Linked DNA regions of Mus musculus: all the other regions are reported to be linked to region 2. Evidence: microRNA targets listed by miRTarBase, many of them from high-throughput screens and not tested one by one. Region 2 holds a microRNA gene; each other region holds the end of a gene's coding sequence.

The links. Region 2 holds the annotated microRNA mmu-miR-466i-5p (UGUGUGUGUGUGUGUGUGUG, at 822-841, shown strand). A microRNA usually pairs through its seed, bases 2 to 8, with sites in the 3' UTR of a target mRNA and lowers its output. Matches are read on the target gene's strand: a 7mer-m8 pairs with bases 2 to 8, a 7mer-A1 pairs with bases 2 to 7 and ends in A, and an 8mer does both.
Region 1: miRTarBase lists Vps37a as a target of mmu-miR-466i-5p. Seed matches in the 3' UTR shown: 7mer-A1 at 1,951-1,957, 8mer at 1,952-1,959, 8mer at 1,954-1,961, 8mer at 1,956-1,963, 7mer-A1 at 1,965-1,971, 8mer at 1,966-1,973 and 21 more.
Region 3: the mRNA of Tmem151b is a reported target of mmu-miR-466i-5p. Seed matches in the 3' UTR shown: 8mer at 2,709-2,716, 8mer at 2,711-2,718, 7mer-m8 at 2,713-2,719, 7mer-A1 at 2,881-2,887, 8mer at 2,882-2,889, 8mer at 2,884-2,891 and 20 more.
Region 4: miRTarBase lists Nkap as a target of mmu-miR-466i-5p. Seed matches in the 3' UTR shown: 7mer-A1 at 937-943, 7mer-m8 at 936-942, 7mer-A1 at 923-929, 8mer at 921-928, 8mer at 919-926, 8mer at 917-924 and 12 more.

What each region holds. Positions count from the first base shown.
Region 1 is chr8:40,544,765-40,547,841 of GRCm38, forward strand. Vps37a (vacuolar protein sorting 37A) reads left to right here. Exons shown (of 12, transcript NM_033560.3): 11 at 180-260; 12 at 1,512-3,077. The coding sequence ends at 260. Among named protein-coding and RNA genes, the nearest start is that of Vps37a, 35 kb to the left of the region's middle.
Region 2 is chr3:85,466,561-85,469,651 of GRCm38, forward strand. It overlaps Mir466k (microRNA 466k), which reads left to right and starts at 817; the gene lies at 817-938. The region is part of intron 1 of Gm31419 (a long non-coding RNA gene); the gene reads right to left.
Region 3 is chr17:45,542,343-45,545,433 of GRCm38, reverse strand. It overlaps Tmem151b (transmembrane protein 151B), which reads left to right. Exons shown (of 3, transcript NM_001013749.2): 3 at 1-3,091. The coding sequence ends at 607. Tcte1 (t-complex-associated testis expressed 1) reads right to left here. Exons shown (of 5, transcript NM_013688.2): 5 at 2,755-3,091. Among named protein-coding and RNA genes, the nearest start is that of Tmem151b, 5.8 kb to the left of the region's middle.
Region 4 is chrX:37,147,721-37,150,811 of GRCm38, reverse strand. It overlaps Nkap (NFKB activating protein), which reads right to left. Exons shown (of 9, transcript NM_025937.4): 9 at 66-3,021. The coding sequence ends at 2,847. Akap14 (A kinase (PRKA) anchor protein 14) reads left to right here. Exons shown (of 6, transcript NM_001033785.2): 6 at 1-114. The coding sequence ends at 17. Among named protein-coding and RNA genes, the nearest start is that of Gm39503, 4.9 kb to the left of the region's middle.

The DNA of each region.
Region 1 (3,077 bases), not on the chromosome of region 2:
TTCACACAAACCTTAATGTTCTTCTGGATTCCTTGTAAATTCTGAAGAATTACTAGCTACCTTAAATGTTAAAAAGCTAAAGGAATGTTAACAAATTAAAATATTCTTACTTGGAATTCTGTCTTAATGTAGGAAGCAGTTGGAAAAGTGACTGGTATTTTAAATAATTTATCTTCTAGATTTGCCACTGTAGAAGAGCTAAAGAAGAGAAGCTTCACCAGGTGATAGCGATGCACAGCCAATTTCATGCTCCTCTCTAGGTATGCATTTCTAGCTAGTGTCTCAAGGCTGTTATACAAGTGTGCTTTAACTTAATAGTTCTTAACAGTGCCTGCTCACTGCTTTAACATGATTCTACCATTATAGTTGTTGATTGTTCTAAAATGTTGACAATTATAAACATGACCATATAAGTACATCTATAACCAGTAAGAACTCTGTAGATAATTTCTCAGTACTTCTGTATCCTTAGTGAGAGTGTGCGTTTCTCCTAAGGGTAGCTTACAGTCATGCTTCTACCATTAGGAATGTCTTGTTTACAGAAGAAAACCTTGCCCCGTATTCAATTGCTGTGATAAAATACCATGACGAAGGTATCTTACAGATGGAAGAAGTTATTTGTGTTTATTGTTGGTGAGGGAGAATCCATAATGGTGAGGCAGGCTTAGCATCAGGCAGCTGGAGCGGGAAGCTGAGGGTTCACATCTTTAACCACAACATGAAGCAGAGAGCAGACTATTAATACAGTGTGTTGTGACCTCTCAAAGTCCACCCATAGTGACTTACAAGCAAGGCTGCACCACCTCCCAAGACAGCACCAGGTGGTCAGCTACCCAGGTCTATTGGGGTAGCTTTCTTTCAAACCACACAAACTGAAATAAGAGCTTGTTAACTGAAGGAGAACACAAAGTTAAGGAAAGTGCAGCCCAGTTACTGAGACAGACGAAGCCTCTCAGTAACCAAAACGCATCTTCCTTCTCAGGCTGGCTGTTTCCGCTTTCTGCATGAAGTCTGATCAGACCCATTGCTTTCCATGTATTCAGCAAGCACTGACCTACATCACCAGTTCCATTTTTTAGTCACCCATCAACCACAGCAGCTGCTGTGCACTGAGAGTCTTGAGTTGCAGTACTAATCCCTAGGAGAGGATGAATCAGCTGCATGCAGCCATCTGGCTGAAGGAGAGGACTTTAAGGAGGAGCATGGGGGATTCTTTTGAAAAGGGATGGAGTAATAGGCATTTCTTATCTCGAGTTTTTATTCCATTAGTATCGCCTCTGAATTGTGTTACGTCTTAATTTCCAAACTGAGATAATTTTTATACTACTTGTGTTTATCCCAGATCCCAGCCCAAGCAGTAGAAATAGATTATTGAAAGGAGCACACTGTAATCTTTTCCTTGCCCAGTTCCTTCCCAGTCAAGTTACAATACCTTAACAGGAAGGCAGTATAAAGGATCAGGGTTGATAATCTTAAATTAAATCTTAAATTTGACATTTTTTTCATTTCAGATTTTCCTGAAACCATGAACTACCAAGAGAGAAATGGGACACAGGCCTAAGCACATTGTTTTCTATTTATGACTTAGGGATGGGCACTTGAAACCATGGCTGAGGTCCAGATGCGATGTAGATTGTCTATCACCTGAGACTGATTCCGTACAGATTAGAATGACTGCTATATTTGACAAAACTTTCTGCACTATTTGCACTAAAGATGTTTATTGTTGACAAATCCTGTATTTAAGTTCCTCTATTTCTGATTAAACATCTATGCATGTAATTCTAGCTAATTTTTAATATTTTTAAAAACTACTGATTTACATTTTTAGTTTTAACTTGAAGCTGCCTCATTTATCAAGAGTGCTTATTACTTAGATTCTTCTTCCTGTCAGCCTTTTCTTTCAAAACCTATTTTCAGCTGTGAAAAGGTCATCTAGCCCACCCCGATACACACACACACATACACACACAGACACACACACACACACACACACACACACACACACACACACACACACCCCTTTCTTTCTAGATGATGAAACTGTCCAGAGCAGTTTGTTTTCAGATATTCAGTGTCAGGAAACAGCAGTCCTGCCAAGGTGCCATCTCAAGAAAGCAACCTGTAATACCTGCAGTAAATAAGAGTGAAGAATCTACTTTCTTACAGTTTCACTTTCAGACTAAAGATACATTTAGGCAGCGATACAGGTCAATGCATTGGTTGTATTTTGTTCTGGAACAGGTTGCACTGTGTAGCCCACTCTAGCCTCAAACTTGTGCTTCTCCTCCCTGAGTACAGGGTTACAGACAGGTGCCATCATCTCATAAATAGATATTTTACTTATTTTTAAAACTGTCTTTCACTTAAACCAGTACAATACAGACTTCCATGCTAACTAAAATAAATAAGTATATATGGGTTTTGGGTAAATGATACTCCTTTTATATTCCAAATGTAAAAACAAACAATTCCTTTTGTTAAGAAATGGTAAATCTAGGCAGAAATAGTAAAATTTTAATACTTTGACTTGACTTTTTAAACATTTTTTTTCCTAAGAAAGCTTTATAATAACAAGTAATGTCTTAATTTTTAATGAATTTAATTTTCTAATTGTAGATGTATTCAGCAATTTGTTTCTGTATTTTGTCACAGAGCTAAAGAAGAAAATGAGTACATATCTGAGGTTGGTAAGTTAGGACCTAAATCACTAAATACCATAACACATAATTGCTCAGTTTTCATCCGTGACTGTCATTCCAAAGCCTGCATACATTATGGATTGTCTTCATTTTTCTTACTCTACATATTTTTGGTAATGGAGTTTTAAGAAAGTCATAAATATTTTCTTATTGAAAATTTTTTTCATGTTTGTGGAAGACATATTCCTGTGACTATAAAGATTATCCCGTGCTGGGTATGCACCATGATAGCTGCCTGTCTTGCTGGCGCTAATGTTAAGGGTATGCTATGGAATCCTCAGGCAGACCTACAGATATAGGTGAGATAACAGGTGGAGTCATGTTTCACATTTGTGACCAACTTGGGGGCATTCAGAGACTTCTGAGTGTACTGGT
Region 2 (3,091 bases):
ATAAACATAAGGTAATATGTGTTGGCAAAAGTAACCTGAAGTGGGAGTATACAACTGTACGTTTCAAATTGGCTGCTGCCTGTAAGGATGGAGATTGGTAGTAGCTCAGAATGGATGAAGTGGGCAGAGTAGCCAATGTGCATCCCAGAATAACCGAGGCAAATCAGATCTCATCTCACACAGACCCCATCAGTGGCCCAAGATGGAGCACATGACAGATTCCGCAGTCCCACTTTCTACTTTAAGGATGAGGAGACATCGTGGAGTGGCCTCCAGATTTAGGGGTCTCCTGTGAGCCAGGAATGTGTGGTCATGTTCTCAATGGAGCGAGTAAAAGAAAGTGTCTGTTTTTGTTCATTGAAGTCATTGACTCCAAGCCCTGGAAGCTGCCATGTTACCTCCATCTGCTGCCTAACTCTCAGGGCCACATTTAGATAAAGAGCCGAACTTCTGAACTGCAACAGCCCTGGACTTCAGTCAATTCCCTACTTTCTTACAGAAAAGAAAATATTGAAAAGCTGTATTATGGTGTCTTATATGAATGTGCTAGTTTCCAGGATGGGAGGGGCTGTATATTCACCTATATTCACACACATATACATGTGTGCATGTGATATACATTCATGTACACCCTCCTATAGAAATAAGTGTATGTGTGTGTGTGCATGCATATGTGTATATGTGTATGTATGTGTGTGCATATACACATGGGTGTGCATGTGCATGAGTGCATGTACGTGTATATGCATGTTCTCTATTGATATGTGTGTGTGTGTGTGTGTGTGTGTGTGTGTGTGTGCAGGTGTGTATATACATATATATGTGTGTGTGTGTGTGTGTGTGTACATGTACATGTGAGTATGTGTGTGTATATGTTTGTACATGTGCATGTGTGTGAGTATGTGAATATATGTGTATATGTGTGCATGTGCATGTGTGTGTATGGTGAGTAGGTGTTACTAATTGTGACTCCGATGGCTGTGTCTCCATCTGGCCTAGGTGACAGGTAAGCAACTGCACTGATCTTTCACAGGTAGCAGCAGCCTTATAGGGCAGGAGAAGACTGGCACCTCTGCACTGGCCGTGACCTTACCTGCAAGCCCCCGAGGAACAGGAGCTTTTTTACTCCTCCATCTTCTGGCTTCCCAAGCAGGTGCTGATATCTTGACAGGGAAGGGGAAATGCTCTGTCCTGGCCCTCTTGCCTCACAGAACTAAAAGCTAAACATGGCTTCAACTACCTCAGCGGCTTTCTTCTCCCACAACCACATGCAGTAGAGAGGCCCAGCGCTGCAGAATACATCTGTGATAGGAGAGGAGAGCTTGGATCTGGAATGTTCTAGAAAGTGATGGAATAATTTGAAATCCAAACTGTCTAAAGGCTGAAGAAGAAAGGAAGCCATTGCCACCTGCAGGAAGCAGCCAGGTCCTTTTGACCTCTCAAAGTTCTTGGCTGTGAGGTTCCATCATTCAGCTGATAAAACAGAGGAACAAATGTTACACAGGGAAGTTCACAGGAAAAGGGTCAGTACAGAGTGTGCAGAGCTTCTGGTGGTATAAAAGCCAGTCACTGAAAACTAGGGACATGTCCTCAGTCCTTGAGACCTGAAGTCATCTCTTCTCTTCTAAGCATCCATTATACCCAGGATTCCACAGCCCTAGGCCTTCTGGAAACAAACTTCATTTCCCCAAAAATTGTCTGCTACCCTAATGCCACCGGAACAAGTTTTTTAGCTCTTGGGTTATAGCTCAATGATGAAACACTTGCCCAGCATATACAAGACCCCAGATTCCACCTCCAACAACAACACAAAGCACGCCAGTACATCTCAGCCTGTGCAGAGGCTCAAATTTCGAAGGAAATAGGAAATAGATTCATTCATTCATTTAGTGACTCTTTCTCTTCTGCTGTGTATGAGACGCTGTGTTAGGCAACACCAGAAATAAGGTAAAGATTTAGCAGGTGACCACAAACGAGAAAGTGCAGTGCGTTCTCCACTTTAATCAGAGCAAGCCAGCAAATAAAATGTTCTAGGCAGTTTGTCTTGGCACCAGCCACAGGAATTTACCTGTGACATCCTAATAAAGAGGACACTGAGACATGACATCCACAAGGACTTGATTGGCTCTCCTGGAGCTGATTGTGCACACCAACCCCCAGGAAATAAGGCCAGGAGGTCTGTGGTGAAGCCTGAGTGTCCACGGTCCAACTGGGTCCTGGGTAACGTGGAAGCTGTTGTGAGTCTTGTCCTCAGAGACATGTATATAGAAAGACTCTAGTTCACCTCACTCTACTGAGCTGCATCTTAGGAAGGGCAATTAAATCCTAGCTATCACCCTGCAGCTGACAGGGCACACACACACTGCCAGCTCTCAACTAACTGGTCACACCCAGGGTATTTTCAGGCTATTATTATTATTATTATTATTATTATTGTATCTCAGAATATTTATATGAATAGCAGAGGAAAAAATATTTATTTACTTCCTTTTAAACATTTTTTTTTCTAAGTCTAACTTTTCATATTGTTGGGAGGCTACAAACTCAAGATTGTTTCCAAGGGATACCTGGAAAGCTAGGATGTCACCAGAATGTAGGACCATCTGCTACAGCAGATACTACTTCCTCCCTTGAGCTGAGAGACTTGGAAAGATTGACCCCAATTAAGAAGATGGGGGAGCAGGCAGGATGAGGAGGGAAGGAGGGAGGTTTTAGATAATGCGATGGTGTATCTAAAGCCACTGATTCGGGAAGAAACAGAGAGAGAGAGAGAGAGAGCACACCAGATCCAGCTGGCCTCTAGCTCTCTTTCCCTCCACCCAGACTGATATGTGTGAGCTGTCCTCTCTCCTCCTCCAGTTGTCTGCACAATGCCACCGCTCAGGTCACCCCATGTCACTGTTTCCTTCTGCCCTTGCCAGGGCCCACTGTCTCGCTAGTTCATTTCACTGCATTTAGCACCGACAGTGACCCACAGAAGAAAATACAGTAGAGGACACAGCCAATACGAAGCCCCAAGGCAGGAACAGCTGCTATCATGTAATCAGTAAGGGCAAGAGGATCCAAAAACAAGCCATTAGAGAGAATGCCA
Region 3 (3,091 bases), not on the chromosome of region 2:
CACGGTGGACAGCACGGAACTCGAGTGGCACATCCGTTCTAATCAGCAGCTGGTACCCAGCTACTCGGAGGTGTTGCTTATGGACCTGGTCGAGCTGGGCTCACGCTGCGGCGGGCCAGGGGGTAGCTACGTGCCCAGGTGTCGCTACGGAGGGGTTGGTGGCCCGGGCGCGGCGGGCGTGACCCCGCACTGGCGGAGCTGCGAGCACTGTCAGCGAGCGGTCAGCAGCTCGTCCATCTTCTCGCGCAGCGCGCTGAGTATCTGCGCCAGCCCGCGGGCTGCCCAGGGCCCTGGAGCGAGCGCGGGGTGTGGGGGCAGCCGCTTCTCGCTCAGCCGCCTCTACGGCTCCCGGCGCAGCTGCCTGTGGCGCAGCCGGAGCGGGAGTGTCAACGAGGCGAGCTGCCCCACGGAGCAGACGCGTCTGTCGAGCCAGGCCAGCATGCGGGACAACGAGGAGGACGAGGACGAGGAGGAGGCCGGGCCACCGCCGCCCTACCAGGACGCCCTCTGCTTCCCTGTCCTCATCGTCCATCGGCAGGAGGGGTGTCTGGGCCACAGCCACCGGTCACTGCACCGCCATGGCTCCTGCGTGGAGACCTCACTGTGACCTCCTGCCTTTGGAGGGAGCCTGCGCCGCCGTTCTCCTTCCTGCCTCTCCTTGTGTTGTGCTCCCTGTGTGTAGCAGGGGAAGGCAGGATGGTGGCTAAGGCCAGGCAGGGTATGAGGGAAGGCAGGAGGTGAGGGGCACTCTCAGACAAGACCTCAGTGATCTGAGACTGCTTCCCTGTACACAGACAGAGGCTGGGAGATTGGCAGCTCTCTTAAGAATCCCATCCACCTGGGCAGAGGTGTTTCTCTCCCAGTCCTCACCGAGTTCCAGCAGGGGGGTACACCCCCTTTCCCATGCACACTCGAGATTTCCCTTCCAGGCTTTCATCGAGTCTTGACTGTTAGTATGTTGTGGGACCCGTTTCTGGCCTCCCAACCAAGGGAGCCATCATGGTGGGTACCAAGAAAGGCAAAGCACTTGGGGCTTTTTTTTTTTTTTTTTTTTGCCCTGGCTCCCCGTGGAGATGGGCGGTGGTTTGGTGAAGAGCAGCAGAGTTGGCTTCCAGCCAGCAACTGTGTTCCCGGGTCTGAGGGTGGGGCCAGATGGCAGCCCAGTATTCATCTCCATACCTTGAAAGAGTTCTGGCCTCTCGGCGCTGCCTCCCGCCGCCGCTGGGAAAGCCACACTCAGCACTGTTGTTTGTTTCACTTGAGCCCCAGAGGTCCGGTCCTGGAGGGACTTTTCCTCACACCAATGACGTCACTCACCTCGGGGCTTACCGGCTCTGAAGAGCTGTTGTCAGGGTGCAGGGCAAGGGAAGGGAGGCTGGGAGGGCTCCGCAGGCCTTTTCTGGAAAAGACTCAGTCTCCGGTCCATCAGCTGCTTCCTCCCCTAGGTTCTGGGTAGGTGCTTCCGTCAGGGAGGCCATCCTGGAGGTCCTCATTAAAGCCCGCCAGGGGTGAGTGAGTGAGCAAGTGGACAGAGCCTGAGACACACCCCGATGTCGAGAGACCTCAGGAGTAGAGTTAGTAATGGCTGGTAGACTGAGACTAGCCCTGGAGGGATGGCGATGGGCTGGCGTGCTGTAGCTTTTCCTCAGCAGGCAGTGGAGCAAACACTTAAGAAGGATGTCCCTCACACATGCCTCCATAGAGCCGAGTCCATCCCAAACCCTAGCTAGAGAGATACCCATTTCCAGTGGCAGGAGATCCGTTCTCACCAGACCCTCCACTTCTTCCTGTCCAGCGAGTTGAAGCTCTAGGTCTTCAGAGGGGCTCCATGACACAGCCCCGGGGCACCAGCCCTTTGTCCTGTCCCTTCAAAGCTCTGACACCAACTTTGCTCTCCCCTATACCCTCTTACCCCTCCACCCCAGTGTGCATGTCTGTGTTTGGCCCCTTGCTCTCCCAGCTGCCCTGGCTGACGTTTTCCCAGCAGACTTAGTACCCAGGGATTGGGCTCACATCCATCCAATCTTGCTCCCTCTGCTTCTTGCTTTGCCTTCACCAGCAGAACTCCATCTTTTTGGCTTTCCCTCTTCCTCCTGGCTGTGCCAGGCCTATGCCAACCAATGGGAGTGGCCCCTACCTATGCAAAAATCTCCTCTGGCTCCCTGTCCCCTTTTTCCCTGGGGAATGTGGGAAGCCCTGTTGTGGGGATGCCATGGTCTAGGGCTCAAATGGGGGCTGAGCTTTCTGGTTATACAGAGATGCTTGGGTGAGGAGGGAGGGGTGTCAGAGAAGGATAGGTTTGGGCAGAAGGGAGCAAGCACACCACTGGGTTTCCTGGGCAACAGTGTCCTCTGGCCACTTAGCACAGAACCCTCCAGGACCCTGAATTTGAGGTGTGTGTGTGTGTGTGTGTGTGTGTGTGTGTGTGTGTGTGTGTGTGTGGTGTTGACTATTGGAGCACAGGTACTGAGTGAGCTGTGGCCTCAGGCCTCAGTTCTTGGCCAACTGGTACCTGAATGTCTTGTTCTCATTTAGGGGCAGCTTGGCCATCTTACAGCTCCAAGGAGGGAAGGACTTGGCTCATCCTCTTTCATTCTGGGTCCAGAAACTGAGCTTGGCCTTGGGAGAGGAGGGGGTGGGGAAGCCCCGTTATTATTTTTGCCTGACCATTTCTGCCTAGGTCTCCTTGCACAGACAGCCTCACCTCCCACACACACACGCACAGACTTAGAGAGAAAGCAATTCTTTGGTTTCTTTTCTTGGTAGCTTTATTGATTGCCAGGGAAAATGAAAACCAGAAAATTAATTAATCTCTAAAATTAAACTTTACACTGAATGTTCTTGTTTCTCTAATTAGAACCTCTGCTAGCAGCTGTGGCTACACACACACACACACACACACACACACACAAACACAGAGAGAGATACAGATACACACACACACACACACACCCTCACACCTACATGTTTGCACTCTGGAACTGTCAGAGGGTGTCAGGCACAGAGGACTCTAGGCTGCCCCCGACAGGCACACACACAGTCACTCCCAAGCCCCCTCTGGTGCTCTACTCAGCGCCTGCTTCTTGCAAAG
Region 4 (3,091 bases), not on the chromosome of region 2:
CCTTTAAAGTTGTTTGATTCCTATGTTATGTTTGAGGATGTTTACAATCCACACATTAAAAATATGAAACATGTCAAAGCACATAATATTTATTGAGTAATAAACTCATGGCACACAACCCAACTGTGTTTTTGTTTTTATTCATTATCCATTCTGCAATAAGTTGTTTTCTGTTCTGGAGAAGATTTTGGAGTGTGGCAAGCACAGAGTCGAGTTGTGAACATTACTAAAGTTCAGCCACTGGCCCTTAGCTGTCTGGTCCTTCTCTCTGCCTAGCTCTAGGCTTGATAGACATTTTTATGGGTATCTGGATAACAAACTGGCAACCGTTCTATATCTCACACTAACAGTCTGAAGGGCTCCACTACCCATAGATCTCTTCTACTGTCAGATGACCTCACTGCTAAACTCTGAACATCCCATCATGCTCATGATTGCAATGAAGCAGGGGTGGGTTACCACCCTTCCTTATTTCTGTCTTCACACTGGATCATCATGTATTCCTAACTTCCCAATGGGACTCCTATGCCTGCTCACACAATTTTAAAATACCAAAGACAACTTTACAGTACACTTCAAATGACAAAGACGTACAAGGGACACAGAACACTTGTAACAATTCATGTGGTAGGACTGAGCAATTTCTCTATTTTTCCTATTATCTTTGTACAACAAATAAAAAAAGAGAGAAATCCTATAAACAACAGGCGAAGAGGTGAGAAACTGAGTAAGTCTCTTTAGAAAACAAAATATTTAAATTACAATACTTCTACATAGCCTTTACTCAGGCCTAAAGAGCTATAAAGAAAACAGATAGAAGCATAACCACTACCTTGTTCACTAGGAATGTAACAAAGAGGAAATTCCTGGCTTAATGTTTTGTTCAATTATAAGTGTGTGTGTGTGTGTGTGTGTGTGTGTGTGTGTGTACACGAGTGTGTGTTTCTTCTTCTGTAGACAAGGAAAGATATGTTTTTGCAAACAATGGCTGACTTAGAGCTCAGGTGAAAGAACACAGTTTGAAGGGATAATTCAAACAAGCTAAAAATAAAATACTTTTAGCCCTCCATTTTTTAAAGGACTGCTACTAAATAATGATAGATTTTTAAATAAATTCCTATTTTTTCATTGACTGTATATACTCTGTGGAGAATAATCAAAAGAAAATCTGTAATACTTATACACTACAAAATTGTTGCATTGAAACTACATTTCCTATTAAAAAAAAGAAAAACATATTCACCCAGTTGCTAGGAGCCATTTAACAAAAAATAATGGCCCTTCGTTTTAACTTTTAAAGTAGCGATTATAAACTTTACATTGTATTACATGAGGAAGTGTATGGATTAAGAAGACTTTCAACTTTGGAACCTAGTTTCCATTAGACTTTAGGAAACTATATACTTATCAGACTGAGACGTATAAATACCATGAAATAATTTCAAGTTCAAAGATCACAGATTTTACTACATGCTAACTGCTGCTTAGTTCAGCAGTTGTGGGTTAGAAACACATTTTCTCAGAACATATATTAAACTTTCAAACAGTAATGAAGTAAGGAGGGTTTCTAGAAAGTTAAGGATTAAAGTCATGACAGATATAAAAAGCTGAAGAGCTTAACAATATTTAAAATAAAATCCTATAGTGAGGTGCAGTGGCACACACCTCTAATCCTAGCACCTGGCAGGCTGAGGCAGGGGGAACTCTGGGAGTTCTAGGCCATCCAGGGCTACATAGTGAGACTCTGTCTCAAACAAGAAATCTGGTAATATAAAGGACATAATTGAAAATGTTTAATATTTTACTTTCATCATCATCATGAAACAGCTTAATTAAAATACTGACTTATTATATTTTCCCTTATTAGCACTCTTAATACTCATTTTTAAGATATTATCCTCTATTAAATACCAGCTTAAATAGAAATAGTATTCTTATATTGGCACAATAGACTCCCAAAACTGCATTTGGAACTTTTTTGCACTGCTGGGGATGTAGCTCGGGGCCTCATAAGCACGTGCTCTAACTCTGAGCTACATCCTAGCCACTGAAAGAACAATGGTAAGTAATGTAATAGGACGGGAAACAGCTAATGCTCACATTTTCTGCCCCACACATGTGTGAGTCAGCCATTTGGTTTGCTTGGTTTTAGAGCAGAGGTAGAGTTAGCCCAGTATACATTTCTAGGGCCGACTATAGAGGCAAGCCAGTTTTCCAATTCCAGAGTGGCTGTGCACAGCAACACCGTCAGTTTGTTAACAGAAATAGCCTCCTAAATAGTTTCTGTCAAGCCCATCTGTAACACATTCAAAACAAGATATGAAATTCTCAAGTTCTGCTGGGATAGTGGCAGACACTGTATGGGGCTAATAATCATAGTCACACCAGATCATGATGTGAGACTTAACCTTCTCGTTCATCTGCCACTTTCTCTCTATGCCACCTTCCGAACATAGCAGGACTTTGGACTTTTAAACCAGAAGGCTGGGGTCAATCTTTAAAAGCCTCAAATAACTTAACTAATTTTATCAACAAGCATCTTTTATTGAAGGACTGAAGAATTAAAAAGAAGGCACAGAAGCCCTGAAAAGCCACTTCATAGCACAGTAGCCTTTTTGGCTGGGCCTGGTGGCACACACCTCGAATTTCAGCACTTGGAAGGTGGAGGCAGGAGACCAAGAGTTCAGAGTCATCCTTGGCTACAAAGCCTGAGGTCAACCTGGGCTAATTGAAACCATACATCAAACAGTAACTCAAAACAAAAACAAAACAATAAGCTTTTGTTGTTAGAACCCACAATTTCCTTTTCGATGTTAAAAATATTCACTTGTAAAGCCAAGAAGTCCTCACTTGTCATCCTTCCCTTTGGTCTTTCTGTATACCATCTCACGAAAGCTGGCCAGAATCTTGTTCTCCCTCTTTCGTCTTTCTTCTTGGTTAAAGGATGCAAGGGCTCTCTTCTCATCAGCACTGTAGATCTGGTTCTCTTTCCGAAGTCGAACAGCCTCCATTCGGCGATGCCTGGAGACAAATTTTATTTTTGACTTAATTTCATACTAATAATTCTTACAGTATGTTGTCATAGAATCTT